Linked DNA regions of Coturnix japonica. The protein of the gene in region 5 interacts with the protein of the main gene of each other region in a pairwise test. Links are inferred from orthologs where the notes say so. Each region holds a gene or a part of one and is shown on either strand. Other genes may lie near its edges.

Evidence for each region.
Region 1: the proteins of DISC1 (region 5) and BICD1 interact in a two-hybrid assay, tested with the Homo sapiens proteins (2 studies listed by BioGRID and IntAct). The link is inferred for Coturnix japonica from reciprocal best matches to the Homo sapiens genes DISC1 and BICD1.
Region 2: the proteins of DISC1 (region 5) and FBXO41 interact in a two-hybrid assay, tested with the Homo sapiens proteins (2 studies listed by BioGRID and IntAct). The link is inferred for Coturnix japonica from reciprocal best matches to the Homo sapiens genes DISC1 and FBXO41.
Region 3: the proteins of DISC1 (region 5) and KIF3A interact in binary tests that used the Homo sapiens proteins (3 or more experiments, as listed by UniProt). The link is inferred for Coturnix japonica from reciprocal best matches to the Homo sapiens genes DISC1 and KIF3A.
Region 4: the proteins of DISC1 (region 5) and SRGAP2 interact in a two-hybrid assay, tested with the Homo sapiens proteins (2 studies listed by BioGRID and IntAct). The link is inferred for Coturnix japonica from reciprocal best matches to the Homo sapiens genes DISC1 and SRGAP2.
Region 6: the proteins of DISC1 (region 5) and RABGAP1 interact in a two-hybrid assay, tested with the Homo sapiens proteins (2 studies listed by BioGRID and IntAct). The link is inferred for Coturnix japonica from reciprocal best matches to the Homo sapiens genes DISC1 and RABGAP1.
Region 7: the proteins of DISC1 (region 5) and XPNPEP1 interact in a two-hybrid assay, tested with the Homo sapiens proteins (2 studies listed by BioGRID and IntAct). The link is inferred for Coturnix japonica from reciprocal best matches to the Homo sapiens genes DISC1 and XPNPEP1.

Annotation. Positions count from the first base shown.
Region 1 is NC_029516.1:53,354,492-53,357,991, forward strand, and holds part of BICD1 (protein bicaudal D homolog 1), read left to right. Parts: intron 1-2,719; coding exon 2,720-3,500. UniProt on the Homo sapiens protein: Regulates coat complex coatomer protein I (COPI)-independent Golgi-endoplasmic reticulum transport by recruiting the dynein-dynactin motor complex.
Region 2 is NC_029519.1:81,245,492-81,249,670, reverse strand, and holds the start of FBXO41 (F-box only protein 41), read right to left. Parts: upstream 2,801-4,179; 5' UTR 2,268-2,800; intron 1-2,267. UniProt on the Homo sapiens protein: Substrate-recognition component of the SCF (SKP1-CUL1-F-box protein)-type E3 ubiquitin ligase complex.
Region 3 is NC_029528.1:1,213,919-1,218,213, forward strand, and holds the start of KIF3A (kinesin-like protein KIF3A), read left to right. Parts: upstream 1-1,495; 5' UTR 1,496-1,647; coding exon 1,648-1,656; intron 1,657-2,031; coding exon 2,032-2,314; intron 2,315-3,649; coding exon 3,650-3,794; intron 3,795-3,995; coding exon 3,996-4,080; intron 4,081-4,295. UniProt on the Homo sapiens protein: Microtubule-based anterograde translocator for membranous organelles. Plus end-directed microtubule sliding activity in vitro. Plays a role in primary cilia formation. Plays a role in centriole cohesion and subdistal appendage organization and function.
Region 4 is NC_029541.1:2,718,039-2,721,538, forward strand, and holds part of SRGAP2 (SLIT-ROBO Rho GTPase-activating protein 2), read left to right. Parts: intron 1-486; coding exon 487-870; 3' UTR 871-3,500. UniProt on the Homo sapiens protein: Postsynaptic RAC1 GTPase activating protein (GAP) that plays a key role in neuronal morphogenesis and migration mainly during development of the cerebral cortex. Regulates excitatory and inhibitory synapse maturation and density in cortical pyramidal neurons.
Region 5 is NC_029518.1:35,635,106-35,638,605, forward strand, and holds part of DISC1 (disrupted in schizophrenia 1 protein), read right to left. Parts: intron 2,924-3,500; coding exon 1,941-2,923; intron 1-1,940. UniProt on the Homo sapiens protein: Involved in the regulation of multiple aspects of embryonic and adult neurogenesis. Required for neural progenitor proliferation in the ventrical/subventrical zone during embryonic brain development and in the adult dentate gyrus of the hippocampus.
Region 6 is NC_029532.1:7,280,013-7,284,238, reverse strand, and holds the start of RABGAP1 (rab GTPase-activating protein 1), read right to left. Parts: upstream 2,801-4,226; 5' UTR 2,707-2,800; intron 2,377-2,706; exon of another isoform or gene 2,249-2,376; intron 1-2,248. Other genes in the region: ZBTB26 (zinc finger and BTB domain-containing protein 26), read left to right, coding at 2,832-2,893, 3,138-3,197. UniProt on the Homo sapiens protein: May act as a GTPase-activating protein of RAB6A. May play a role in microtubule nucleation by centrosome. May participate in a RAB6A-mediated pathway involved in the metaphase-anaphase transition.
Region 7 is NC_029521.1:22,662,548-22,666,822, forward strand, and holds the start of XPNPEP1 (xaa-Pro aminopeptidase 1), read right to left. Parts: upstream 2,801-4,275; 5' UTR 2,714-2,800; intron 2,193-2,713; 5' UTR 2,163-2,192; coding exon 2,104-2,162; intron 1-2,103. UniProt on the Homo sapiens protein: Metalloaminopeptidase that catalyzes the removal of a penultimate prolyl residue from the N-termini of peptides, such as Arg-Pro-Pro. Contributes to the degradation of bradykinin.

The DNA.
Region 1 (3,500 bases), on a different chromosome or scaffold from region 5:
AAAAGAGAGACAGGCCTAGCAGGATGCTTCTATTTAGATACTGGGAAGGCTTGCTGCAAGCTGCTGATGTTTTCTCTTTTTAAAGCAATCATCTGCTCTATTAGGTTGTCTCAACTCACCTTGAGTCACACAAATTAACTGTGAAAAATTCCTCCAAAAATTTTCTCACAATAAATGGGAGATTTAATTGGGTTCAAGCTGACAAAAGGTAATTCTTCAAGAAAATTGGTTTTTTTTTCCTCCTTAGCAATTTCTTTGCCATGTGGCATTCAAACAGTTATATCTCAACATTTGGCATATGCTCCTCTCATTTACTCAAAGGAGATGTACTGTGATGGATAGAGCTTCTGAAGATGACCCTCTCTTGGGAAGTATGCTTATGTCATTAGGAGAGCGGGCTCCTTTTTTGAGAGAATCAAACATTTCCCTTTTGTACCTGTTTGTGGCAAGTTTTTCACTCCGCAAGCTCAAAAAGAAACATGTACCAGAAGAGCTAGCGTGATAGGCTAAGTTCCTCTTGCAACTTTGGGATGCTAGCGCTGTGTTCTGTGTTGGCTCCTAGAAGAGATAAACGATAAATAGCAATGATAAAATTGGCTTTCAGTACTGCAGACTATCAAACAAATTGGAAGGAAGTCTCCTCTAGCTGAGATCTTTGAAAGGAAGAATGCATTTCAAAATGGGTACAACTGCTTTTGAATTGCTTTTATTTTCACTTTAAGATTGTGGCATGGATAATTTCTGCAGCTGCTAATTTCATCAACAAACAAACAGACTGACTGAAAAATGTGGTACTCTATTCCCAGAATTTTCCTCTATGTGGAAATAAAAATAGGTCGCAAACATGAAATACAGTTTCTGACCTTAGAAACAGCAGAGCTATTACTATTCAGAAGGAGTACTCCAAGTGCAGTTGGAGCTTTGTTCTTTTCTCCTTGGAAGTAGGAGCACGTATTGTTCATCAAACAGAAGTGGATTAGCTTCATCCATAATTACTGGACTAGGATGAATAAAATTCAGTAGGTCTGTGTGTTTCATTTCACCTACTGTCCAGGCTGGCAGATGGGTTTTAAATTTGTGTATTTTCTCTGGAAACAATCCTTTCTGTTTGAAAGAAGTATTTGTTCCCACAAGCCATTTACGTTCAGCAGAAAAATGGCCATAAATGTATCTACTATCTCTGATGTAGTTTTTCTTCATGATGGCTGAGATCAATAATCCATCAGTTTCAGTTCTGTCTGATGAAATTAGGCAGACTCTGCAACAGAGTGCCTCTTTAACACCAAGGTGCTTAATGGAAGGCCTGCTCTTTGGTAATGCAGGCTAAAGGCAGATGGGGGCAGCAAGTAGGCAACGGTTGTATTGATGATGTACTCATTGCCCTCTGCTGTCTTCCTCCGTGCTACAGCACAGGCTATGCAGTGCCTACGTGGAGCTGCCTTTATCTAAAGAGGCTAATATTTTTTGGATCATAAAATAATGATGAGCTTTCACCCTGTTTTTTCTTCTTGAGTCATCAGTCACCTGTACATAAAAAATAATATATGAGGACAATTTTGAGATGTTTTTAATGTGGCTTCTGTTTTCATCCTTACAATATTTACCTGCAGTCCCTTGCAGGTTGTAATTGAAACCGTGTTTTGAAAGCCTGTCTGTAAAACCAAGGGATCATCGTAAGTCTAATACTTTGGTATTTCTGAGCAGCAGCCACTGCTTGAAATCCTTGGTATGAGATAATAGGAGTTTGAACCACTGCTTGGAACATTTTGTGAGATGGTGTTGCTATCCTCAGAGTATCTAAAAGGCTTTGCTCTTCCGTCACTGAGTTTCATGGTGGCTGTTTTGACTCTTCCAAATGCTGCCTGGAGGGATGCTGATAGAGAAGGCAGTGCTTTTTTAAGGGTACTTCAGAAGGGACAGCTTTGATTTCTCTGAATTAGCAATTCAGCCACTCACAGTGGAAGTGTGGAACACGACATTTTGTCTGCGTGTATAAACATTGGGCTGAAATACCACAGCAGTGAGAGAGAAAAAGCAGTCAGCCTAATAGGCTCTGGATCCTACTGCAGAAGCCATGAGAGCAAGAAGCATCCTGTATCATCTGCTTCCCAATTCACAGCTCAGAAAAGGAAAAAGGCAGAGAAAATAAAAGTAAAAAGAAGTTGGAGTACTGTGCTAAAATTATAAAGAGATTCATTCAGAGCTATTATCATAAGTAATGAACATCTGAGCAGATCAAACATTACGTTTTTCTTGATTGCTTGCTTCAAGATGTGGTCTATTCAAACTTCAAAAAGGGTCCTTCAGGACCTCTTCTTCTTTTCAACATCCTTATTTCTCTGTGGATATTCAGTGAGGAACTTACTAGGTCAGAATCAGTGGACTGTTAGTTACAATGATGCAGTTACGCCTATTAAATTTCAGAGAACATACGTCTTGATCAATCCAGTATCATTACTCTTGCTGACTACCCTTAGTGCTTGGGCACTCATTCTTCAGTGAGCAATGTGTAAAATTGTGACCTAACAATGCTGCAAATGGTAGCACAGTTTTATGATTTAGGGGTATACATTCAATATTATGTCTTTTGGAACCCCTCATGATGTATATGCAGAGTGTGGGAGTGGATGTAGTGAATGTGTCTGGCAAATGTTTGGTGTTGAGCAGAAAAACACAGGTAGGACAAGATGCCAGGTGTTTTACTTTGCCTCTGTTGCAGGTGGAAAGAGAAAAGGCCATTCTCCTGGCCAACCTGCAGGAATCTCAGACGCAGCTGGAGCACACCAAAGGAGCCCTGACTGAACAACATGAGCGAGTCCACAGGCTTACAGAGCACGTCAACGCCATGAGGGGTCTGCAGAGCAACAAGGAGCTGAAAGCAGAGCATGACTGTGAGAAGGGGCGAGACCCCAGTGAGGAAGCACATGACTACGAAGTGGATATCAATGGTTTGGAGATCCTAGAATGTAAATACAAAGTAGCTGTTACGGAAGTGATAGACCTTAAAGCAGAAATCAAAGCCTTAAAGGAGAAATATAATAATTCTGTGGAAAACTACACTGAAGAGAAGGCCAAGTATGAGAGCAGAATCCAGACTTATGATGAACAGGTGACAAGCCTAGAGAAGTCAACCAAGGAAAGCCAGGAAAAGATGGTGCACATGGAAAAGGAATTGCAAAGGATGACAAGCATAGCGAATGAAAACCACAATACCCTCAACACCGCCCAAGACGAGCTGGTAACGTTTAGTGAGGAGCTGGCTCAGCTCTACCATCACGTCTGCCTGTGCAACAATGAGACTCCTAACAGGGTCATGTTGGACTATTACAGGCAGAGCAGAGTTACCCGCAGTGGCAGCCTGAAAGGCCCGGATGACCCACGGGGTCTTCTTTCCCCGCGGCTTGCCAGAAGGGGAATGGCATCACCTGTAGAAGCCAGGACTCCGACTGAGCAGGTGACAAAAGAGGCCGCAGAGCCTGGCAAGGATCAAAGCCCAACGA
Region 2 (4,179 bases), on a different chromosome or scaffold from region 5:
TCCCTGTTTGCATCCCTTCTGTGTTTCTCCCACTCATACACAACCCCAGGGAGATCCACAACCCTTGGGAAGAGCCATAACCTTTGGCAAGATCCCCAACCTTTGGGAAGGTCCCCAACCCTTGGGAAAGTTCCCAGACCCTGGGAAGGTCCCCAACCTTTGGGAAGACCCACAACCCTTGGGAAGATCCACATGCACAACCCTTGGAAAAATCCAAAGCTCTTTGGAAGGTGCACAACCCTTGTGAAAGCTCACAGCCATCGGGAGGGTTCACAGTCATGGGGAAGGTGGACAACCCATGGGAAATCTCTGTCCATCAGCCCTTAGCTTGCTGCTGAGAGGTGTTTCATGTCCTTCATGCTGCAGGAAGCCTCTGTGGTACCAGGGATCTCCAGTCCAAGGAGCATCCCTGTGTCCAGATGGGTCTCATCTCCCAGCACAGGGTGACCCAGTCCTTTTACATCAGCCCGTGCAGCTTCACATCAGGATTTGTCTCCCACAGTTATTTCTTCAGCCCCTCACCACAACCATTAAGTCTCATCACTGCCTTGGGGATGTCACCATTTCATAGCTGTGATGGCATCACCCCATGGGTGCTGGGCTGTCCTTCTCCCATTCCTTCTTAGCCACAGGCACAGCTGATGCTCCTCCATCCCATTTCCCCCCCAGAATAACTCAGACTCATCAGGTTTGGCCTCTTTGCTGCCTGGACATAAACACCCAGACTCTCCCCAGAGATGTGATACGGAGATGGGACATTCCCATATGAAGGATCCCTGCTCCCCATGAGGTTTTGGCTCTCAAAACCCCCTCCAGAACTGTGGGACCCCCATGCTGCAGTGCTGTAGAGATGATCTCCATGGGGTTATCCCATGCTCCCAAATCCTCCATGGTATAAGGGGAAACCAAGCCCATGGGAAATGGGAGAAGCCAGCTGAAACCGAGCCACCAACACAGCACAGAGCTGGGAGCACCAGGCTATCACCTCCTCCTCTCTCAAGGAATTTGGTTTAATGATTTCAGGACATCACCATGCATGAAACCACTGGCCTGGCAGTGGAGTTCAGGCTTGAAATAAAACAGTTTATTTCTACCCCAAAGAGATACTGTAAGTGGTTCCCCACCCCAGAGCAATGAGGGGACCCAGGGTGGGAACATCACCTTCCATATCCCATAAAGGGTAATTCCCATCACCCTAAAACCCCTCAATACCCCAAAACCATGGAGCTTTGAGGGGGGGAATCCAGCACTGAGCTATCACCCATGCTCATCCCCAGGGTGGCTCAGAGCCATCTATGGCTCAGCACAACCCTTCCAAACCATTTTTTGTTCTTATAGGGTAAAATCAGGAAGGGAAAGAAATCCATGCAATAATAATAATAAAGATAATAATAATAATAAACCAGAGATGTGCTGGGAGGATGAATGGAGCTGCCTGGCTGCTCCTGCAGCCGTCTGCTGGCCTGGTTTGTATTTTAGGGTCGTTACAAAATGCATCTCTGCATGTTAACCCCGCCTGGACGAGCCGGAGCCCACCCAGCACAAAGCCAACAGGAACTTGGTTTCCATCGGGAGCCTTTTGTGGGATGATAAAGCGCTTTTCTGCCTTAGGGCCGGGGCCACAGCATCGTGCAGTGCTGATATTCCAGGCCTGGATTGCTGCCCGCGTCTCCCGGGGTACCCAACCCGCCTCGCTTTGCTTTGCGTTCTCCAGCCCTGAACCACCATCCAGCTCTGAACGCCGCATGGTCCCAGCCCTGGGCATGGCCGTGGGTCCGTACAAACCTTCCTTCTTCCCACCCCAAAATAATGATCGATAAAAGACTGAATGGGACCGCAGCCCCCCCCCTCTTCTCCTTCCCTCCCCCCCTCTCCTCCCCCCTAAGCTGAGCATTGATGGCAGAAAACCCCACAGCTGTGGGCTGCTCGGGTGCTGCTACCTGCGATCCATCATGGAGCCTTTCTTCGCATTGTTTAGCCTTATTTTTTTTTTTTTATTTTTTTTGGCTTCTTTCCCCGTTTCCCCACCTCGAAACGAAATCAAATATAGAGACCATCCATCTCCACCTGCTTGGTGGAAGGAGGGTGGAGGATGCCGGTCCCCATCCTTAGGATCCTTAGGGCTGCAGTGATGGCAGGGTGGGAGCAAGGATGGCCGAATCCCACCAGCGGGTCCCCCCTCTCCTCCCAGCTTTGTCCCCATCGCGTTCCCCCCCCGCTTTGGGGACAAAACACCCCCTCCCAGCGCAGCATCCTCTGCCCCATACCTGTTTCTCCGGGCTCCTCCGGCGAGGGCAGCATCTCTTTCCCTTTTCCCTTATCCTCGAGGATAAGTGAGGGGGTGGTGGTGGTGGGGGAGGCTCGGGGAGCGCCCACCCGCCCCGGTGCACAAAGGCTGCGGCTGCGGAGCGATTCAGGGCTTTGTCGGGGAGGAGAGATGTGGGGCCACAGGCCTCCGGCTCCCCGCGAGCAGCACCTCCATGGGGCCGGGGAAAGAGAGGGAGCGGGGGGGGGAGAATCTGTAGGGGGGCGAGAGGGGCGGGAGGAAGAGGAGGAGGAGGAGGGCAGAGGCTGAAGGCCCCGCTGGGAGGAGAGAGCGGGGACTCAAGGGGGGGGAGCTCCGCACGGGGAGCGGGAGGAGGACGGAGGGATGGATGGAGGGATGAGGGATGGAGGAAGGAGGGTCGGGAGGATGGAGGGATGGAGCGCCCGCAGCCGCCGCCTCCTCCTCCTTTGCAGCTCGGAGAGCCGCTCGCTGCTGCTTTCCTCCCGCACAGCTCCCTCTGCCTGTCTCCCCACGAACACTGCGGGCTCTCAGCCGGGTTTCGCTGCCATGCGGCACCCGCATTCCCCAACCCACAACCCCTCTGCCCGCTCTTCCGCTCTTCTGCCCCCCAGATCCATTCCCTGCCCTCTGCAGCACCCGCCTGGGATCGCCCCTCAGCACCCCCCCTCCCGCAGCATCCCATGGGCGTGTGTGGCCGTTTGCATCTGCATCACTGCATCCCCCATCCATGGGTGCAAGGAACATGGCTTCATCTGAAACATCCCCTGAGCATCCCAGCTTGGTCTTCGACTTGGACCTGCTCTGGTTCCTAAGCCCCCGTGTTTGGTACCTAAACTCCCAGATAGTCCTCAGGTTTGGTCCCCATCCAGAACCTGAGTGATCCAGGCTGCTTCTCAGCTTGGTCATAATCTGGTCCCCAAACAGCCTGACTTGGTCCCCGAGCATCCTGGCTTGGTTGCCAAACACTGAGCTCCCCAACTTGGTGCTGGTCTGGTCCCCAAGTGCCCAGCTTTGTCCTGATCCAGAGACTGAGACACCCACCTTGGTCATAGAATGGTCCTTAGTAGAGTCCTGGCCTGGGTCATGGTCCAGTATCAAACAATGCTTTGCATTGGAAGATCTCAGAGATCATCTAGTCCCAACCCCATTTTGGACCTCGGCTTGGTCCTGATCTATCCCCAAGCACCCCACAGCAGTCCTTGCCTTATTCCTCCTCCAGTCCCAAGCACCCCAATTTAGCCCTTGGTGCCAAAGCCACCCATCATGGTGTTCTTTTCCTTGTGAACACAGCTTTGGGGAGATGGTGTGGGGAGACAATTCTGAGGGACAAGCAGCCATCCCCATCCCCAAGAAACCCTGAAAGGTTGGGGTACAACCTGCCCCATCCTGTCCCCAGTCAGCTGCATCCTCCATCCCTTCCTCCCTCCTCCCTTGGCAGCTCTGGACTCGGAGCAGAGCTTGGAGGCTTTATGGAGCCCAGAGCTCTTGCAGAGCTTTCAGGCTCTCGTCAATAATAGATGCACTTTGGGAGGGGTATTAATAAAGCCTCATGCATGATGCATGGCTGAGTGGCGTAGGGGAATTGTGTGTGTCCCCTCCTGGTGTAGCATTGCAGTGGGTGCCAGCAGGAACAAGGCCAGAGGGGATGAGCACCCCTGGGTGCCAATGAAGGGCTAAGATTAAGGATAGGTCCAAGGGGACATTTAGGACTTAGGGCACCAGGTACAACTGCCCCCATCCCACCTCTATGCAGCCCTAAAGGACCTTCTGTCCAAGATCCCAACCTCACTTCCCACCCCATGATGTGGGACAGTGGGTTCTGTGGGGCAGAAACATGGGATAATGGTGTCCCTCATCCCTGGAAGGATGAGGCTGCAGCCCAGATGTCTGGG
Region 3 (4,295 bases), on a different chromosome or scaffold from region 5:
GCAACAGCATCACTATAGATACAGCACTCTCCGGACTATGTGTGTATGTGTGAAATACAGGTATCTGAATGTTCCTATCTAAAGGGCAGCAAGAACCTGAGAAGAAGTATTTCAATACTTCTATTTGAGTGTCTCTTGAACAGCGGAAAACAAAGCTGTCCGATCTAGAACTTGTGCTTTATTGGATGAGGTCTCTGTGCCATCAATCGCCCTAAACTGCGGGAATCCTCTGGAAACTGTTGCTGGTTTCTAAAGCTGCAGATCGAGCGTTTCACTGCACACAGGGAAGCACACACGGCTCCGACCGCATCTCACAGAGCAGCCGAGCCCGACAGCCCGGACCGCTGCAGCAAAGGGATGATAATAAACCGGGTGAGGTTTATCCGAGCGGGTCTGAAAATGTTTCTCTTTTTGTATCTGGAGGGGAAATCGTTCATTCAAGGCTCCCCTACAACTTCACCGCCACCGTCCCATGGAACTACACTGCCCCTCGTTTCCCGCAGTACCCCCCCGTCCTTACCGGTCCCGCTGTGCCCCGCCGCGGTCCGTCCCTGTTGTGGCCGGGCACAGGGCGGGGAGAGGCGGCAGCTCCGCGGGACTCGGCCGGGCGGGGCCGCACCGCCCTCAGCCTCCGCGGCTGCGCACAGCACGGCCCGGCCCACGGAGCTGCGGGGCGGCCGGTACCGCGTAACGGGAGGGAGCGCGCCGGGCCCGTCCCGGCACCGTGTCCATGGCCCCCCCGCAGCGCCACATGCTGCTCCCGGGGCTCGTGGTTCCGCGGTTCCGACCCGGCCACACGTCGGGGCGTTGGAGCCGTCCAGGCCGCATCCCCGCGGTTCCCATGGCGACGCCCAGCCCCGGCCTCGCCCCTCCCACCTCCCCCTTTCCGCCCACCCCATTGGCTGCCGCCCTACCCCCGCGGCTGCAGGGGGCGGGCCGTGCTCCTCCTTTCCTTGCGAGCCATTGGCTGCGCGGCCTCCGCAGCGCGCGGGGATTGGCCGCGGCCCGTGGCGGCGGGGGGCGGGCGCAGGCGCGGTGCTGTTATTGTGCCGTTGTGCGGCTCTTGAGAGCGGCGCTGATCCGTGTGTGTGTGTGTGAGGGGCTGCCATGCCCGTGAGTACGGCCGGGACACGGGGGAGTGGGGCGGGATGGGGATGGGGGTGATACAGGCCGCTACAGGCCGCTCCCCTCCCTCTTGGACTCTCACTGACGGCAGCCGCGGCCCGTAGGGATGTGAGGGGCTGCGCAGGCCCGGCTGGGGCCTGAGGATGACGGCGCGATGCTCCGTGTCACCGCAGTGCGCCGTGTGCCCCAACCCTGGGAGCATCTTGGCGCTCCCTGTGCTGACGGCGCTGCGGGTCGGTGTCAGGAGCTGCGGGCGGTGTGTGCCGTGCTGGTACCCGAGGGGCGGGTTTAGAAGCAGCTGATCCACGGCATCAGCCCGTGGGGCGGCACCTCGGAGCGCCGCTGTCAGGTGGAGCATTGACAGCGTTGTCAGTTAGTTTAGTGTCAAAATCCACGTCTGTACCTGGGAGAGAAAGGTGACGTGAAGTCCTGTGAGCCGACCTTGGAGTTCTCAAAGTGGTGAACGTTCAGCGAACGCACTGGAGCCTGTTTGAATTCCCTTCAGCTCGCTGCGATCTGCTGATGTCATCGGTGAGCTCTGAGGCTGTTTCCTTGTGCTCGCTATTCAGACAGCGAGCTCTATGAATTTAAAGGAGTGGCACAAAAGCCTCAGCTTGCAGCAAGCTGTTTGCAGGCACAAAGCTGTTTGCTGAAGAATTTCACAGATGAATGAAATTTGCAGGTTTTACTTGATTGGTTTCCACATTTGCAAACAGAAGATTGCTCTGACTGATTAAGTGCAGGGTATTCCCTTAGCTGTATTCCCTTAGCTTTAATTATATAGCAGTTCTTGTCTAAGCGTGGCTTTTATGATTCTGCTGAGAAGTATGCATGGACAGCTTAAGCACATGGGCTTGTGACAGTGATGCCGCAGCTTGTGAGTGTTTTGCCTTTTCATAATTGCAGATCAACAAGCCTGAGAAGCCGGACAGGCCAGAGAGCTGTGATAATGTCAAGGTGGTTGTTCGATGTCGGCCCCTTAATGAGCGAGAGAAAGCGACGGGGTACAAAATGGCAGTTAGTGTGGATGAGATGAGAGGAACTATCACCGTCCACAAAACAGACTCGTCCAATGAACCTCCCAAGTCATTTACATTTGACACTGTTTTTGGACCAGAGAGTAAGCAACTGGATGTCTATAACCTGACTGCGAGACCTATTATTGACTCCGTCCTAGAAGGCTACAATGGTAAATTCCTGGTTTATTTCAGTGTTCCCATCTGTGTTCCTTGTGTTGTTGGTGTCCCTGATGATCAGCAGGGAGCCTTCTCTTACTAGGGCCACATCTCTCTGTTGTTTCTATTCTGGCCTCTGACCTACAGCAACCAAAAGTTACTCCTTACTAAGTACCCACCGTGTTGGTACGTGCTGAGATTGCTAACAGTGGGAGATAGTAGTGAGCAGTCTTGGCTGAGGTTGGTGAGCTGTGTGTTTTCATTCTCTGTCTTCTGTCTGCAAAAGAAAAAAAGCTTTATTTCATTATCAGAATTCTCAGCGACTCTTCGCTATGCAGTTTCAGTAACGCAGCAGCTGCCATGGTCCTGCAGTATCTAGGTATGAGTGTTCTTCTTGTGCGTCTAAGTGCTGCATTTTCATCTCTAAAACTTGCTGTTCCAAACTAAGATGACTAGTTACCCACATCAGCCCTGCCTGGCAGATAATTGGTTGCTTCCTGCAGCTGGGAAGAATATGTCTGTGGTTTGTGTTTGTTATGCATGTAAATACTACATGTAGAAGAAAGAATACACCAGTAAGGTAACAAATTACTGCTTTCTGTAACTGCTTTTCATCCGTGCTGTAAGTGCCAGATTAAGAAGGTTTTTAAAGGTTTGCAAAATACTTAATAAGCTTTTGTGCTAACACACCCATCTTCAGCTGATTAAAATTCCTCTCAATAGTAATACCAGTGACTTAGCAATGAAAGCAAAAGCTTAATTTGAGTTGAGCTTAATTTGTGCTGGGGAAAAAATTAGTTAACCTGTGTGTTTCTGGAATGTCTGAGCTGAGATTTCAGTAAACTTTCTCACTGGTTCCCTTGGGGATGGTTGTCTAGTCCAAATTGTGGCTGCATTTGCAGGCTCAGAACTGGACACTTGTACTGTGTCCTGCGTTGTAGGAGCCTCATGTTTCTGCTGTGGCTTAAAGTGCTAGCAGTCGTTGGTTTTGTGGTTGGTTTGTAATGATATTTCTCTAATTGACAATGCTATTAATTAGTCTGATTTTAATTATTTGCGTGTGAGCCCTAAGTGTACCGGTTCTCAATCCTTTAATTGCTTTATAAAGCTAAAACAAGCTGACTTTTTCTTAAATATTTTGCAGGCTGGATAAAGCAGTGGCTTGAACATTTTTTGCTATGGTTGTCCAGCATTTCTGTTTCTCATAGCATTGAATATTACATACTGTAGGGGGTGAAAAGTTTCAAGTTCATAAAAATGTGTTCAGTGCTATCAGGCTTAGGATTGATGAGGTAAAATTGCAGTTATAGCAACTTCGTGGTGTTCATTAATATGTTCTTGTTCTTCAGGCACCATTTTTGCATATGGGCAGACTGGAACAGGCAAAACTTTTACCATGGAAGGGGTCAGAGCAGTTCCTGAGCTTAGAGGCATCATTCCAAATTCCTTCGCCCATATATTTGGTCACATTGCCAAAGCAGAGGGGGATACGAGGTAAACAGCTTCCCTTTACTGCTCCTGTCTTTTGTTTGTACATCTGTAGAAGAAGTCTGACCTCAGCAATGACCTTGGCCATTCTTGATGGGGTGGCTGGAATGTATTTATATATGGGTGCTTTTTCTTTGCATTTTATGTCTCCTAGACTTATATTTACAAATACCTTATTAAGAAAGCTTCACAACTGTTTGCCTTCAGGTTTTTAGTTCGTGTGTCTTACCTGGAAATTTACAATGAAGAAGTGCGGGACCTGCTAGGAAAAGACCAGTCACAGAGGTTAGAGGTGAGCCTGCTGTTCTGACTCCAGTGCTTGTTCCACATCCTCGAGCAATATTATTGTGAAGACCAGAGAGCATCTGAAGGGAGCTGGGAGGTTGGACTCCTCAGCATGTGCATTGTTTCCTTTAAGATACAGTAGCAGTTGGATGTCACCACTGTTTTCTCTGAGTCTTTTCAATTTGTTCTGTTGTACAGTGAGAAACTGACTTTCTGCTGAGT
Region 4 (3,500 bases), on a different chromosome or scaffold from region 5:
CCTGTCACCATTACTGCCCACTGAGATGCTAAACCCTACCTCATAGCACCTCATTCAGATTCCAGCATTCAGTGTCAGCAGCCTCTTCCTTTCCTTTGCATATTTCCCCTCCTGAATCTCCCACAAGAACGGACCCATTGCACCACGTGCTTTTGTGTTTGCTGCTGCATTTTGGGATGGTAGTCATCTTTGAGATCCAAGCAGCATCTGGAGACATTGCTTGGGATTGGGATCTGTAAAGGATTGTGGAGTAGTGTTAGAATTGCCATTTATGCCCCATTTACTCAGTGTGTAACCTTACATAGCATGCATTTGTCATGGGGTTCACTTTGACACTTGAAGATGACCTTCCAGTTGACCTGCCAAGAAGATTTGAGTGCTGATTTTTACAAGGATGTGTAGTTCTCCAGCACTGAATTCTTCCTACTTACTTATGTGTCTGTGTCCCTTGACTTACACCTTTTCATTCTTCTTTTGTGTTTGCAGGACATTGAAGCCACGATGAACTCTGCTCTGAACGAGCTGCGGGAGCTGGAGCGGCAGAGCACCGTCAAGCACACACCAGATGTCGTCCTCGACACTTTGGAGCCTTTAAAAACATCCCCAGTTGTGGCCCCCACATCCGAGCCCTCCAGCCCCCTGCACACCCAGATCCTCAAGGACACTGAGCCAGCCTTCCAGCGCAGCGCCAGCACGGCAGGCGACATCCCTTGCACCTTCAGGCCAGTGAAATCAGTCAAAATGGCCACGCAGGTCAAACCCCCCGCAACGCGGCCAAAACCTACAGTTTTCCCCAAAACCAACACCACGAGCCCCAGCGTTGCCTCCTCTGCATCTCAGCAGCCTGCTGACAAGTCCTGTACTGTCTGATAAACCCGATGCTGCTCTGCGGGTACAGCCGCGTTGTTTCAGATGAAGAGACCGTGCTAAAGACGTTAGAATTCCTATTTAACTCCATCCTGAACTTGTGCTGAAGGTTTATGGTGAGCTGCTCCCTCCTGCTGGGTGCAGGCTCAGTGCTAACAGCCTCATCCTGGTGGTGTCCGTAAGGTGAAGCCCTTCGTGCCACGTGTGGGGAAATCCAATCCTGGGTCACTGTGAAGCTGAGGAGGAAAACACAACAGCACTGAGTTGGATCTTGGTTTCTCACTGACGCCTTGCTCCAAGCATTTGGCCGCTGGAGGGCATATTTGGCAGCATCATGTTTTGAGTACTGGTGTAGTGACTTTATATATTCCGTGTTTCGTTTATCGCAGGGGAACAATAGGGTAGGTTTTAGTCTATTGCATGTTTTGGTGCCACTCGTTTTTGTGGAGCTTGGACATGCCCCTTTCTTGTGCATTGTTAACGACGCTGGTGCCACTGTGGTTAAGGGTCTGTCTGGACTTCCATACCATCCTCGGGTTATGTTTGTTTGCTGCCCCATCCCTCCCTGCAGGGCTTTTATTCATCCAGCCTCGTCCTTTTATATGACACGTCATGAAAAATAGTTTCCTCTGGAACACTCTTAGGTTTTGTGGAATGATCCGTAATATGTGTATGTGCAAATATGAACAGATACGTTCCTGGGGTATAGGAGCATAACAAAGAACCCAGTTGTTGCTTATGGACAATCTGGCTGTTTTTCTCCTTGGCTCTCCCATATTTAAAAACAGCTTCATTGTTTTCCAGTGTACTTTTAGCCCATGGGCTGCGATGTGGTGTGTGGGCTCAGGAGACTGAATGTCAAAACAAGCAAACTTCTGCAATCCACCATCCTCTCATGGGGTTCCACTTCGTAACACACACATTCTTGTTTCGATCATGTATCAGGATGGATCCTTAACAAAAATCCCACTGATAAGCACTGTAAAACTTCAATCAGAAGTTCTCAAGCTCTGTATCTTTTCCCCTTTTACCCCCTCCATCATTCCTGGCTGTAAATGCTTCAGGGTGAGCTGCCTTGGGGTCTGCTCTCATAGAGCAGCACTGCGTGGGACGGTGCCATGGCAGCATGCAGCTTCTGGAGCTCCTGGTGGATGGCAGGCCTATGTAGGACTCCGGACATTGGAATGAACTCTTAGGACATGTATTTATATGGTAGGCAGCAAATGCTTCAGCTGCCAGCAGGTTGCATTGAGCTCTGATTGTGCTCTGCTGAGAATTGTCCACGGTGCAATTAACACTTATTTAATTCTTACAAAGGAAGGCACGTGTGCCACTCACAGCAATGAGGAGGAGCTCGTGGTCCTGCGGGAGGGGAGACGGACTGACCCTCACTCTGCATCATTCCCAAGCTTTTCTGGGATTTAAAAAGTAGCTGCACATCTGATGTTCTCATCGAGTAAATGCAAGCAAGGGCAGGATAAGAGAAGTTATTTTCATATCTTCCATTTTATCTTTTGGTTTGAAATCTATGTGTTTCTCACACTTGGCTTCCTTGTGACTGCAATGTCCTGATGATCAGCAATTGCAACAAGGAAAGAAACAAAACAGAACTTAACAAAGAACAGTTCCTTAAATGTACTTTTCTCTTGGATCGAAGGATGCTACTCAGAGAAGTGAAGGGGCTTTTATTGTGTCCTCATCCATCCCCACCCCTATAGAAGTCACACAGCCGTATTACACCCTGCTCCCTTATGGGCAGGATCCCCCAGCGACCAGCCAACATTGCTCTCAGGTTCTGATGGACTTCTACCACCAAGGAATCACTTGGGCTTTTGGGGAATAAGAACTGAACTCGCAATTTAATTTGCTCAGGCAGAACTTTCTGGCATTTACTTTACGTAGGGAATATTTTGCTTTAGTTTGTGTTTGGTCGCAAACGACCGATTACTCTGTGTCAAGAGCAGGATCTCTGTGAATTTTACTTTTGAACTCATTTGTAATGCCTTATTTTCTTTCTATTTTTATGCCTAGCATTGGTGTTTCTAAGAATTAAGTGTCCAGCCACACGCAGCACATCTGGAGGAGATGCTCTTTTCTGTCTTTGAGGTCTGAACGAGTGGGAATTGAGAGATAAAGACTTCAGGTTACTCTGTCTGTATATGAATAACTGTGCTTATCTCTAGCCTCCGCAGCTCTGGGACAATCCTACTGTCAAGAGGAATATGCTTAACAGGATAAACTGTATACCAAGCAACTCAACTGGAATTTTGGTGTGCACTGTGACTGACACTTAAACCTACAGCAAGCAATATGGCAGACTGGAGGACTTCTCCTCTTCTGCGTGGCCTGGGTTTATCCAGCCAGCAGGAAACGCACACAATATAGGGGGAACTGGAGAAGGAATTGGGTAGCTCAGCTCCTTCGCTCCATGAGCATCCCAGGCTGAGCATCATTTCCATTGTGGTTTATTGCCATGGGGCACTGGGGAGGTGGGGAAGGAAAACTGGAAACATCAACACCACCCTGCAGAGGCAGCGGGCATCTTGTACAGGAGATGATGGTGTGGATGAGGAAGGCACGGTGGTTTGCCTGGGGAGGTGTCACTCTTACTTCCTATCTTCGTGTTGAGAAGA
Region 5 (3,500 bases):
ACTGTTTATTCCATCATGGGCACCCAATGGCAGGTCATTTAAAAATCTGCTTGGGTACTGCAGTACAACCATGCCCATGGCTAAGTGACTGATGCTGCGACAATCAAGTGCTTCTGTTTGCAGGCTAGAAAGATATCTAGAGCCCAACTACCAAAAGAGCTGCTTCAGATCAGAACCTCCTAAACTTGTACCAGGTGATGAGTACCCTCTTAATTAGAATAAGCACAGAAGAAGCATAGTTTTAACAACTTTGGTACTGTCTCCTTTTTCTGACTACAGTTGCCTTTGTTCCCTTATGAAAAGTTTGCGAGTTGCTCATTATCATTGCAATAGGAAGGTGTTTCAAATTAAACACCCAGGACTAAGGGCAAAGACATCTGAAGGCACAATTCCCCAATTCTCCATTCAATGAATTAATGAATACAGAAATTAAAGATAGCAGTGTTTCTTTGTGCCTATCAAATAAGTAGACTGAAAAGACAGAAAATCATTTTGTACTTTTATTATGTTATATATTCCCAGATTCGTAGAGAATTAATTTCCCAAGCTATTGCACGCTATGAGAACATTGCCATTCCAGGCCTGAAGCCAAAACAGTTGCTGCACGGAAATGCATGTAAAGTCTGTATTAGCGTGCAAGAAAACTTAGTTTGGCTCCTACATGCATCCACAAAAAATAGGGATCACAGACTGTTGTAAAGCTTGGTCAGATGACACAGACAAAAAAGAATTATGTTCCTCAACCTACTGCCTTACCCAGATAAAAGGGCTGTGAAGAGCCACCCTAATCCCTTAGGCCTGAAGACAATAGTGCATCTCAATAGATGCACCTGTGCTGTCACAAGAGTTGGCTTTCCATTCTAGGGTTAGCACAGATAGCATGGGCAGAACTCTATCAAGTGCATCTTTCTATGTGAGAGGCACAAACATCACAGGCATTGCTCCACAGTGCTCAGGGCACTAGTGAGAGTCTCAACAAGAACACCACTCACACACAGTGGAATTTTAAGACTATTAAAATTTATGAGATCCAGTGTGTCCATACTAATCTACAGATTACCACTTCCTGAGCACACAACGGAGCCAAAGTCTGGCTCCTCATTGCATCTAGGCTCATAATTGCTTCCTCTCCCCTGCCATCCCAAAAATATCAAAGATTAGGAAAAATAAATTCTACCATACAATAAAAAGAATAACAGATCCTTTTTAAGGTTTCCCCACTGCCATCCCACAAAGAATACAGCGAATGAGGCTACTTGTATATACAGCAAGTACATATTGGGTATGCAGACACATTAAAAAAAAATATGGCTTCTGAATCAACAGCCCATAACACTTGTTAGGTGGAAGAAAAAAAGATGTTTAATTCCCAGCCTGAATTAGAGCAGAGAATGGAACCCCATCTATCATCACATGCAGAGTGTAATTGTGTATTAGTTTGAAGGCTACGCTAACACGAACCTTTCCCCTAGAAATCTTTGGCTAAGTTTACACATTTTCAATTACAAAGTTCAGTTTCATTAAAAATCACAATGCTTCAAGGAAAAAGGTGTTACCACCTTCAAGTTTTGCTCTACGCGTACTCCAACCTGCAGACAAAAAAAAAAAAAAAGCCTCTTGCAAAAGCAGCCCTTGCTGAATTCCAAGTTAACATATGACATTAGAAATAGAAATGAGGGTCATAGTCTCAGGAAGCCATAGGAGCCAATTACTACAATATCATCACTTTGTTGGGTTTCTCTTGTTTTGCTTCTTCTAAAAAGAAAATACATGCTGGTTCCTTCATTTTTAAATTACACAGATACTGAAAGCTTCTATGAAAAAGTACTGTGAAACCCATTAGTATCCCTGCACTCACATCAAATTAAGACACTGACACTATAAATATACATGTTTTGGGGGCCAAATGGAGGAATCAAAGATGAAGTGAGATTACAAACCTTTAACGTACTCCAGTTGCCAAGCTGGCAGTCCAGTAGTGCTGGTTCATACCTTTTTATAAAAGCATCCCAGTTTTGGTCACTGACACTAAAACTACTTTCATAGCCTGAGGTAACAGAGGAACCAGCAGATGCCGCATCTGAGGAATCTGTAGAATATGACAGTGTTGCATCCGTATCAGAGAGAGAGACAGTCTCACAATCCTGAAGTTTATAATTTGCTGTGGTCTCATTTTCAGACTTCAAAGCCTCACTGGGCTTAGAGAAGCAACACAAAGCCCCTGAGTGCTCCTGAGATCTTGTTGTCTCTCCTGGCTCCTGAAGATCTCTGGTGCTGCTGGGATGCAGAAGGATGGGCAGAACTCGATCTGCCTTGATTTCAGCATCGCTTACTCCAGAGGCTGAGTTCAGAGAGAGCTGTATGAAGCTGAAACTTGAACAAAAACTATCACGTGGACCAACAGAACAAGAAATAGCTTCTCTGTTTTGATATTCACAGTTATTATTCACCTCTGCCTGATCCAAGGCATGTATCTTTTGGGGCTCATTCACTTCAGTTCCATGGTTCATCTGGCACGTACCACTCGCAGTAGAAACACCTTTGCTTGTTGTTTCAGCAGGGTAAATCAATGCTATGTTTTCTGACCATGCCTTCTTGGAATATGAAAGATTTTTGCAACTTCCTGACATATTTACAGTAGTGCCCAACGTTGTTAACCCATCAGCAAGAACTACAGCACTACTTGCAGTTGAACTACAGCGTAAGAACTCAACATTATTTTTGTGCTGTCTGCAGAGAGAGAAGTCCTCCAGCTCCTCACAGTGCCTCTTGTCATGTTTGAACTCCTCTGGTAGGAAGGGCTTGCAGGCACCCAGAGACTGAAACTGGAGCTGTTGCTGAGCCTCTGGCCTCATGTATCCAGGTCTTTTTGCCAGTTTCTTTTTACAAAGATTACCTGAAGGCATTAAGTGCTCTAGACCATCTGGAGGGGGTAAGAAAAAATAAAAGCTTAAATCAGTAAAGCATTTCTGCAGTTTCATAAGGGTAATATATTGTAGCATTCAAAAATAATTACTCCAGAAATTTCAGACAATGCATCAGTTTCCACTTTAACAAAAGAAAGATGTTGTCTGTATTGCAGACAGACACGATAAGGTGTTACCAGATAACTGTGCACATTCACTCACTTTCTAAAGAGTTTGCACTTGCTTTTATGTGAGCTCACTGATACAACAGGACACAAACCCATCCACACTGAATCAGTGGCTTCCCTATTCATTGCAGTGCTCTGCAATTCCTTATTCTCAGATCACTTACAGCACAGAACTTATTTAGTCTCACTGATACAGAACAATTTTCAGACATACAATCACAGGACCAAATATGCATCAAAAAACAAGGGAAAAGCACTCAAATTTTGCACATAGCTTGTTATTCCTGATGTCTAGCTCTCTGCATTTTATTAATACAAGCATTTCAAATTCAGCTTCCAGAACAGCTGCAGCTCTTTAGCAGTCTGTGACTGCGTATCTGTTATTATAGTAACATATTTTAAAATC
Region 6 (4,226 bases), on a different chromosome or scaffold from region 5:
TAGAGAGAAAAGGTGATCTTTTCTCATTCAGAACCCTTTCAGCTTTTACACTTCTGAAGCAGTTCCTACAGCAATTGCACAAAGCACAGCGTGGCTGAGGGATGCACCAGATACAGAGGAACGATACAGCAACGTGTCTTAAATTACTGAAAACAAAATTAACTTAAACAAAGTTAAAAAGCTTGGCATGCAGGAGAAACCTATAACCACTACCCCTAAAAATAATAAACACCCACTACATACAATGCTAAAAATCACTAAATGCAGGAAGCAGCAGGACACTGAGCAGACTGACTCCATATGAATTCATCACTGAAAGTAACATCATTTCTGGTTCTATTTCTCTGCTGTAACAGAACTCAACAACAACCACAGCCCAACGTGAGCAGTTGTTCTCCTTCCCTGGATTCCATTATCTGCAACTCAGTCAGGGTAAAAGGTGGAATTTATAGCGGAGTTCAGAAGCTTTATGAAGGACTGCCCAAAGCTGGTCTGTAACAAATAGGCATCATTCTTTAGAATCGCTGGCTCTTTACAGGCTTTGACACCTCTGGTATTTTTCCCCCTCGCTTTCAAATAATGCACATGTATTGCTTTATACACAGAGAGTCCTGAAAAAAAAAAAGCCTGGCAAGTGCTAAAGCACAGCACTGTGTGACAGGCAGCTGCCCAGATTTTCTGTCTGAGCAGAGCAAGAAATTGTAAGAACAAAACTGGTGCCACGCTGACAGACATGTGGGAAAGGAGCTGTGGTTTGAATTCTCCTGAGCACATACCTGCAGCAGTGTTCTACTGCAGCTGTGGGAAAAACAACATGCAAGGAAGATCAATCAGCAGCAGCCTTCTTCTTCTCACGTATCACATGCTCTGCCTGCATAACCCTATGTTTGATCTTCACCCACCACTCCTTCAAGGAAACTGCTACAGCCTCGCCTTCCCCGTGCAGAACATTCTCAAAGGCAATGAGAAGCAGTTTGCACTCAGAACGAAGCAATAAAACCATTGAAATACTGCATGTGAAAATAAAGACTCTGGATGACTAAAGGGAGCAAATGATATACAAGTAGCAACTACAATGCTACACCTTCTGAGCATTTTAAAGGCCTCGGACAGCCACAGAGGTTCCCACAAAGCTCAAGAGAAGGACACGACCAGGAGGTAGCACTGCCTCACATCCAGCCCCACTGCCCCGTGGGCACAGAGAAGCTCAGACTGCAGGGGAATCATTGCCCATTTCATGCAAAACCAGGAATCAAACAACACACAGGGGTTCAGCTAATGCAATGTTTGTTAACACTCCTTAGCTGAGTCATAATTTTGCTTTTACCCTTAATTTGAACTCAGATGAGAGAACTCTAGGCTCCTGTACCGAGCAGATCCTCCAGTTCCAGAAACAAAGTGCAGGCCCTGGGAAAGGCGGCACAGAGAAGAAACACAGCTGCTGCCTCGGGCAGCCCAGCCCAGAGCGGTGTGTGGGGAGCTGCCCAGGAGTGCCCTATGCACACCCTGCTGGGACAGGCAGGCAGAGCACAGGGCAGGGGCACCCAGCCAAAAGGCAACGCTCCATGACCCTCTGCAACCCACTCATCACAACCGATGTGAACACAGCGCTTCACTCACCAGTCACACACGGCACTTTAAGAACATGCTGTGAGAAGTGAAGAAAAAACACAAGTCGCATGCAACACATGCAGCTAAAAGCTGCCCGCCCTCGGTGCTGGAAAGGGAAGGAAAGCCCAATGCCAGGCTCCATTTGTTAACGTGCTTTCTGTGTACACAGAACGAAGTCTGCTCAGGTCCTTGACCTTTCTACACTCAGTAGCAGCCTTCAGAAGTAAAAGCACAGTGTTTGTGATGTGCCCGCTGCTGCCAGGCGTTATTTTAAAACAAAGTAGACAAGAACATCACCAATCGCACCAACACTTAACAAACCCAGCAGCAGTTGTTGGGGATCACAGCCCCAGCTGCACGCAGCATCACAGCCGTGCATTACTCGGTGCCCAGTTTGTGTCTTAGCAATAAATGCAATTCCTCCTTTCTCTCCCAAACTTCTCTCCCGTCGCTCTCTCCTCCCGAGCAGAACCGCGCAGAGGAAACCCACACACGGTATTTCCACCCGTTCCACTCCCGCTCCATCACTGTCAAAACGGATTTTTAACCCGACTGCAGCCGGTCCGTTTATTTACACTTCGATTCGCCCCAACCCGACGCGGCCCTCGGCGCTGCCCCGCCGGGCTCCGGCACGTACTTGCCAATAGGAAGGGAAAACCCGAACGAAACGCCGCCGCTGCGGCACACGGGGCAGAAAGGGGCTCCGGAGAGCACGGAGAGCACGGAGCGCCGCGGATCGGGACCCGCCAAACGCCGCGGATCGGGGACGACGGACGCACGGAGCGGCCCCGGAACAGCGCGGGGAGCGGGGAGAGACGCGGCCTCCCCCGGCCCGGGCCCGGCTGTGGGCAGCGCCCGGCGGGTGGGCTCCGCTCCGGGACAGCGCACGCGGGGGATGGAAACACCGCAGCGGCAGAAGCGGAGGAGAGGGCGGGCCGCAGGAGGCCTCCGCTGCTCTCCCACCGGCGGGAGGCGAGGAACCGCGGGGCGGCACCGCGCGCGGCCCGGTACCGGGGAGGGGGCGAGGGCCGGCGGCGGTGGAGCGGCCCGAGGGAGGGGGCGCGGGAGCCCGGCCGGCAGCGCGACCCCACCTACCCCGGCCGCCGCCGCCGCCGCCTCCCGGTGCCGGGCCTGGGCCGCCGCTGCCGCCCACCACGTGACCGGGCGGAGGGGGCGGGCGCCCCGTGAGGCGCTTCCGGGTGCGGGGCGGAGGGCGCGGGATGCGCTTCCGGCGGCCGAACAATGCGGTTCCGAGTCGCCGTCGCGGGCGCTGGCGGCAGCCGTAGGTCCCGGCGGGCGCGCGGGGCGCGGGGCGCGGCCCCGGAGCGGGGCCCGGAGCGGGGAGCGGCTCCCGCCCCCCCCGCCGCCGCCGCCTCCGCCGCGGGCCGACTCCGGAGGGCGGCCGGGCCCGGCCGAGAGCGCGGTGGGGCGCGGGGCCGCCCGGGGGGCGCGGCCGACGGCAGGGCCGGGGCGGCGCGGTGCCAGCCCCGGGCGGCGGCTCACGGCGGCTCTCCTCCCCTCTCTAGGTCCGTAGCCGGGGGTAGCGGCAGCGGGTGCCGGCGGGGTGACGCGGCCCGGCGCTCCAGGTAACGCGGCCCTTCCCTCCGTGCGCGGCGGCGTGGGTCGGGGGGCGGCGGGCAGCACCGCAACACGAGCGGCCGGGGCCGTTCCGGGGCCGTTCCGCAGGCGATAAAGCGGCTCCGCTCTGCTCGGGCGCAGCTCCGGCTCGGGCTGCGAAAGGTGCAGCGTTTGTTGCTTGGCTTCTTGGCGTCCTTAGAGCCCGACAGCGGGAGCTTAACGCGCGTGAAGGCAGTTGCTCGTTTTCTGTGCGCATTCTCTTACGATGCGGCTCTCGTTGCCCCGGAGGTGAAGTGTGTCAGGCAGCGCTGGACTCGGGGCCACTCGGACACGTGTGGCTGCACGGTCCGTAGGCATAACACAGTCGGTTGTGCTTCTGGTGCTGCCGCCCTCTCTGAGCGTTGGTCCGTAGTTAAGCGAACTATTGAAATCCTGTTGTGATTTCTGTACATCACACGCTGGTAGATGTGTGTGGTGCGCTTAAGTAGTAAAGAGAGCACGTCTCAACACGACATTGTATCAGAACATTGAAACAACTCAGTCTGTCAGCAGATAGTTCTGAAAATGTTCCTCTTGGAACCATCATCTTGTGCATTCAGTCATTTACAGGAGGCACAGCTCCATTTCCTCTTGTGTGTGTTGAGCTAATATTTCATGTCCCAAGAGAGCAGTATCTGCTTTTATCTATAAACTTCAAAGTTTCCTTTCCAGCTTAATGTGGTGTTGGTAATACTTGTGAGGTGTAAGTCTGGGGTTGTTTTGCTGTTGCATCTCACCAAACCTTGTGTCATTTGGTCGATCTTCTGTGATTCTTTTGCTTCCTGCAGTCACAATTCTCTGTCAGGATTGCATGAAGTTTCATCAAGAATCAGTGTAGCCTTATAAACTCTTCAGAGAACTGTTGCCAGACAACACATCAATATTTGTCTTGTAGAAAACCCACCGTTTTTCATTCCAAATAGAACAAAATTCCTCGAGGAGTGGTCTTTCAAAGAATGCAAGAAACAAGACTTCCTACATTCCCCACATACTCAAAT
Region 7 (4,275 bases), on a different chromosome or scaffold from region 5:
CTCGTGAAAGATAGGTTTGCTGAGCTTAACATGCATTCCATCCCTTCATGGCAGCTCAGATATGCCCAACAGCTTGAGGAGCCCTGTGACAACCAAGGAACATCCTAGAATGTGATGTTAAATGTTCCAGATCCCCACATATCAGAAGTAACCCCACACACAGGAAGAAACTTTCAGTCTTTTCACTCTGGGGGTAGAAATATTGTGGCTTACATGCCACATACATACACACTGCTGGGAGAGCAGGCCATGCATTCTGGGGACTCAGAAATGGACCAGTTAAGAAAGCAGTTTTTAACACTTTCACTGTAGCCCAGGATTTCATACTGGACTGGGGATCAGATTAACTCAGATAGAAGAAATCTGTTCCCAAGGACTGAAGAATTTCACTGGGTGCATTCACCTCTGGGCTGCAGGCCAGCTCACACAGCAAGAACACAACTGTAATAGGAGGAATGGCCCAATGAGCTCCTACAGGTGACTGCAAGGGGACTTAAGGCAGCTTAAAGGAACATCCTCTAAAGACCTTTGGCAAAAGCTCCACACAACTCAGCTGGGACCCAGCAGGCAGGAGTGGGGCACAGGTGGATGGAAGGGAAAACAAGCATACAGGTCAATCACAACCTCTTGCTGTGGTTATGCAATAGGTGAGTCTTTGGTGAGGGAAGGAATGTCAACCTCTCTGTTTGCTACCCAAAAACCACAAGTAGCTGGAGCCTGCTGTGAGCACCATGCAGAGATGCAGGAAGCCATGCTGCTGTGCTGGCATGCACAGAGGCTGCAGTGGCAGGCACCTGCTCACTGCAGAGAATGTGCAAGCTGTGCAGGAGGCTTGGTCTGAAAGTCTATGACGATTAAGTAACTTGAACATCTTCAGAGATTGTCTCCATTTTCTTTACTCATGTCTCTCTATCAGTGCCTAAGAAAACAAAAATCCCCTTCCCAATCCTCTACCCATTTATTTCTAATTTTTAAGGACAGACTGGGATCTTGTAACTTCAGTGCTACCAAATTCTAGGGCAAGGTGGATAAGCTCAGTGTTCCCTGAATGTCAGTGCTAAGCAGTACTTCATTCTGACTAGTTTGTTTAACAACTCACTTCACAGACATGTCCACAAACAGATTATAGATGACAGAAGCAAATAGCATGCAAATACTTTTTACTTATCCATGCTCTTACTCTATTTACACCTCAGTAGCCACCAAAAGCCCTAAGAAACATCACGGTCCTGTGCCAAAACACAATAAGGTACAGTCTCTGCCCTGTGATGTTTTGTCATCTAAACAGGAAGGCTGCCTCCAAGAAAGGCAACGTGATTTGACAAAGGCCACACAGCAACACTGTGACCAAGCCAAGAGCTGAATCAAAATCTGCTGCTTTCAGGTGTAAAGATCTCAACCTGAGTCTCCCGTTTACACCTCAGCACAACAGGTTCTTAGCACACCAGATGAGTAACAACCCAGCTGCCCCCAGGTAGTGTTTTAAAATCCAGAACACAAGAAACAAATAAAGATAATAAGTCACCATTCTCTCTACCATCAAATTGATAACTTGACCACAGTGCTTTCAATGGGATTAGATTATACCTCAGATTTATTTCCAAGACAAAATTTGTATTCTTTTTCTGCAGTTTGCAAGCTTTACTGTACTGTGATCATTTCTGCATCCTCTGTAAGAAGTTCCTGTAACATTCTACAACACCACAGCTGATCTCTGTTCAGAAAAACACAGAGGTAAAGGAGCAATGAGGACACAACTTTCTTTCTAGACCTGTGCTTTGACCCCAGGAGCCAGAAAGTCTCATTTGAACAGGCAAGGAATGACAAGGCTTTGCCTTTTAATAAAGCCCCTTGCTGACAAGCCAAGATTTTCCTAAGCTATTTTCTCTGAGATCTTTGGTTATCATTCACTCTGGTCTTCCTATAAATTTCTGCAGGTGGTCTTTCCTTCCATAGCCGTAACTGTAACCTGCGTGAAGCTAACACAGCTTATTATTATTTAATCATTTCAGTGGTTAAAACCAAACAGAGTTCAATTAACGGTGCAGGGTACGGTCTCATTCCCCTCCCTACCCTTCCAGAGGTACCACACCACCCCATTACCTGCCCACGCTGCTCCCCACGTCTGGACTCCTCTTGCTTCCCCTCACACCAAGCACCATTCAGCAACTTGCCCGGCCTTAGAAATGTCCCTGAGAAAGCAAAGGGCAGAAGTGAAACGCAGCACAACCTTCACCCCCCATAAAACGTTCTTATATGCCAGCACAAGGCTCAAAACGCCTTCGGGCTGTAATTCAGTGCCGAGGCGGCCGGGCCTGCTGGGCCTTGTGATTAAATCCTGTGTATTTTTACACCGATTTGTTTCTGCAGCCGCTCTGACAGCGTTCAGCGTTTTACAGAAGGGAACGCTAAGGCCGAACAGCAGCAACAACACAGCAGCGCTGCAGGGAGATGGAAGCAGCAGAACCCTCAAGGTGCCCGTGTGGTACACGATCTATACACCACACATCAGTCAGCCCCCAGGGAACAGGCAGAGACACGGGACCGGAGCCGGCCTCCACAGGCCGTGGCTGACAGACAGAAGCCGGCGAAGCGGCTGAGGGGGCCGCCCCGTGCTCCGTCCCGCCCAGGCCCCTCCTGCCGCCCACCGCCCCGCTCGGGCCGGGCCTGACCACCCCCCATCACCCACCCATCGCCTCCCCATGGCCCTCACCTGCCGCCGGCCCCACCACCACGTCAGAGCCCACGTGCACCACCGCCGGCCGCCGCCGATGACGTGACGGAGCAGCGCCGGGTCACGGCACGACGGAACGGGGGGGCGGCTCCATCACAGAGGAGCTGCTTCCTGCGGGGTTATGGAACCTGAAAGAACGGCTACATGGGGGTCAGGAAGCATTTTGTAGGCATCTGATGAAGCCGGTGACAAGTCCACTGCAGCAGGAAGCACCCAGCCCGTTTGGCAGGTGGAAGATGTATAAAAATATTGTGGTATTACTGCATTTTCTGCCCTGTGGTGCAGACCAAGACAGCAAGAAGACCTAAACCCTCGAGTTCCCAGTGCCAGGGCCCTTATTTCACCCACAGAATCACAGAATTATCGAGGTTGGAAAAGACCTAGAAGATCATCTAGTCCAACCATTACCAATACTTCCTGGCTAAATCATATTCCTCAGCACCACATCCAAGCGTTTCTTGAACACTCCCATGGTCGGTGACTCCACCACCTCCCTGGGCAGTGCATTCCAATGCCTGACTACTCTTTCCGGAAACTAATACTTCCTAATGTCCAGCCTGAATCTCCCCTGACACAGCTTAAAACCATTCCCTCTAGTTCTATCACTGATTACACGAGAGAAGAGGCCAACCCCCAGCTCACTACAACCCCCCTTCAGGAAGTTATAGAGAGCTATAAGGTCTCCCCTGAGCCTCCTCTTCTCCAGGCTGAACAATCCTAGCTCCCTCAGCCGCTCCTCGTAAGGCCTGTGCTCCAAACCCCTCACCAGCTTCACCCAGCAGACCTAGAGAGCTCCAGGCTCCTAAGTCCAAGTTAATGCCCCAGCTTTACTTCATCTGGTCCAGAGATGCCCTCATCAGGCAGGGAAAACCACTGGATGTTCAGCATCATGGTTCAACCAGTGTCCCGACCCAGCAGGACCAGTGTCAGGCCTGTGGGTGAGCACAGTGAGGGCTCAGGGTGCTGAGATGCAGCCCTATGGATGCTGATGGATCTTTAGGCTGAAAGAGCCAGCAGAGGACTCTTGGCAGCACTGCTCGTTTCACTTGAATAGTAAATGACTGGTAAGTTAAATAAGAGAAAGTGAAATGAGCTTTCCTGTTAAGCCCAAATGCTTATTTCCTGGATGTTCTGGGTCTCTGGGAAGCTTCTAATGAGCTTTCCAGTGTAGATAATGTAAAATATTTTAATAATTCATTTATCGAGCAGTAATGTGAATGATATATAATCTGAAATGATTGAAGAGATGAAACTGGCTTTTCTAAGCAGTTGCTGAATCTCAGTTAAATGATGCAACTTCTGTTACAAAGGTGTTTTATGAAAACTGTTCAAAATCACAGCATCACAGAATTGTAGGAGTTGGAAGGGACCTCCAGAGATCATCGAGCTCCTAACTAAATTGTCCTAATTGAGCTATCTTTTATGTTCTTACAATGCTATATTCTATCAGATTGCATATGAGAAGGAGAGAGAGAGGGCAGTCTGGCAAATAGCAACCAAAACTGCCTGAGACCAATTGCCATGTGACAGAGCCATTAACT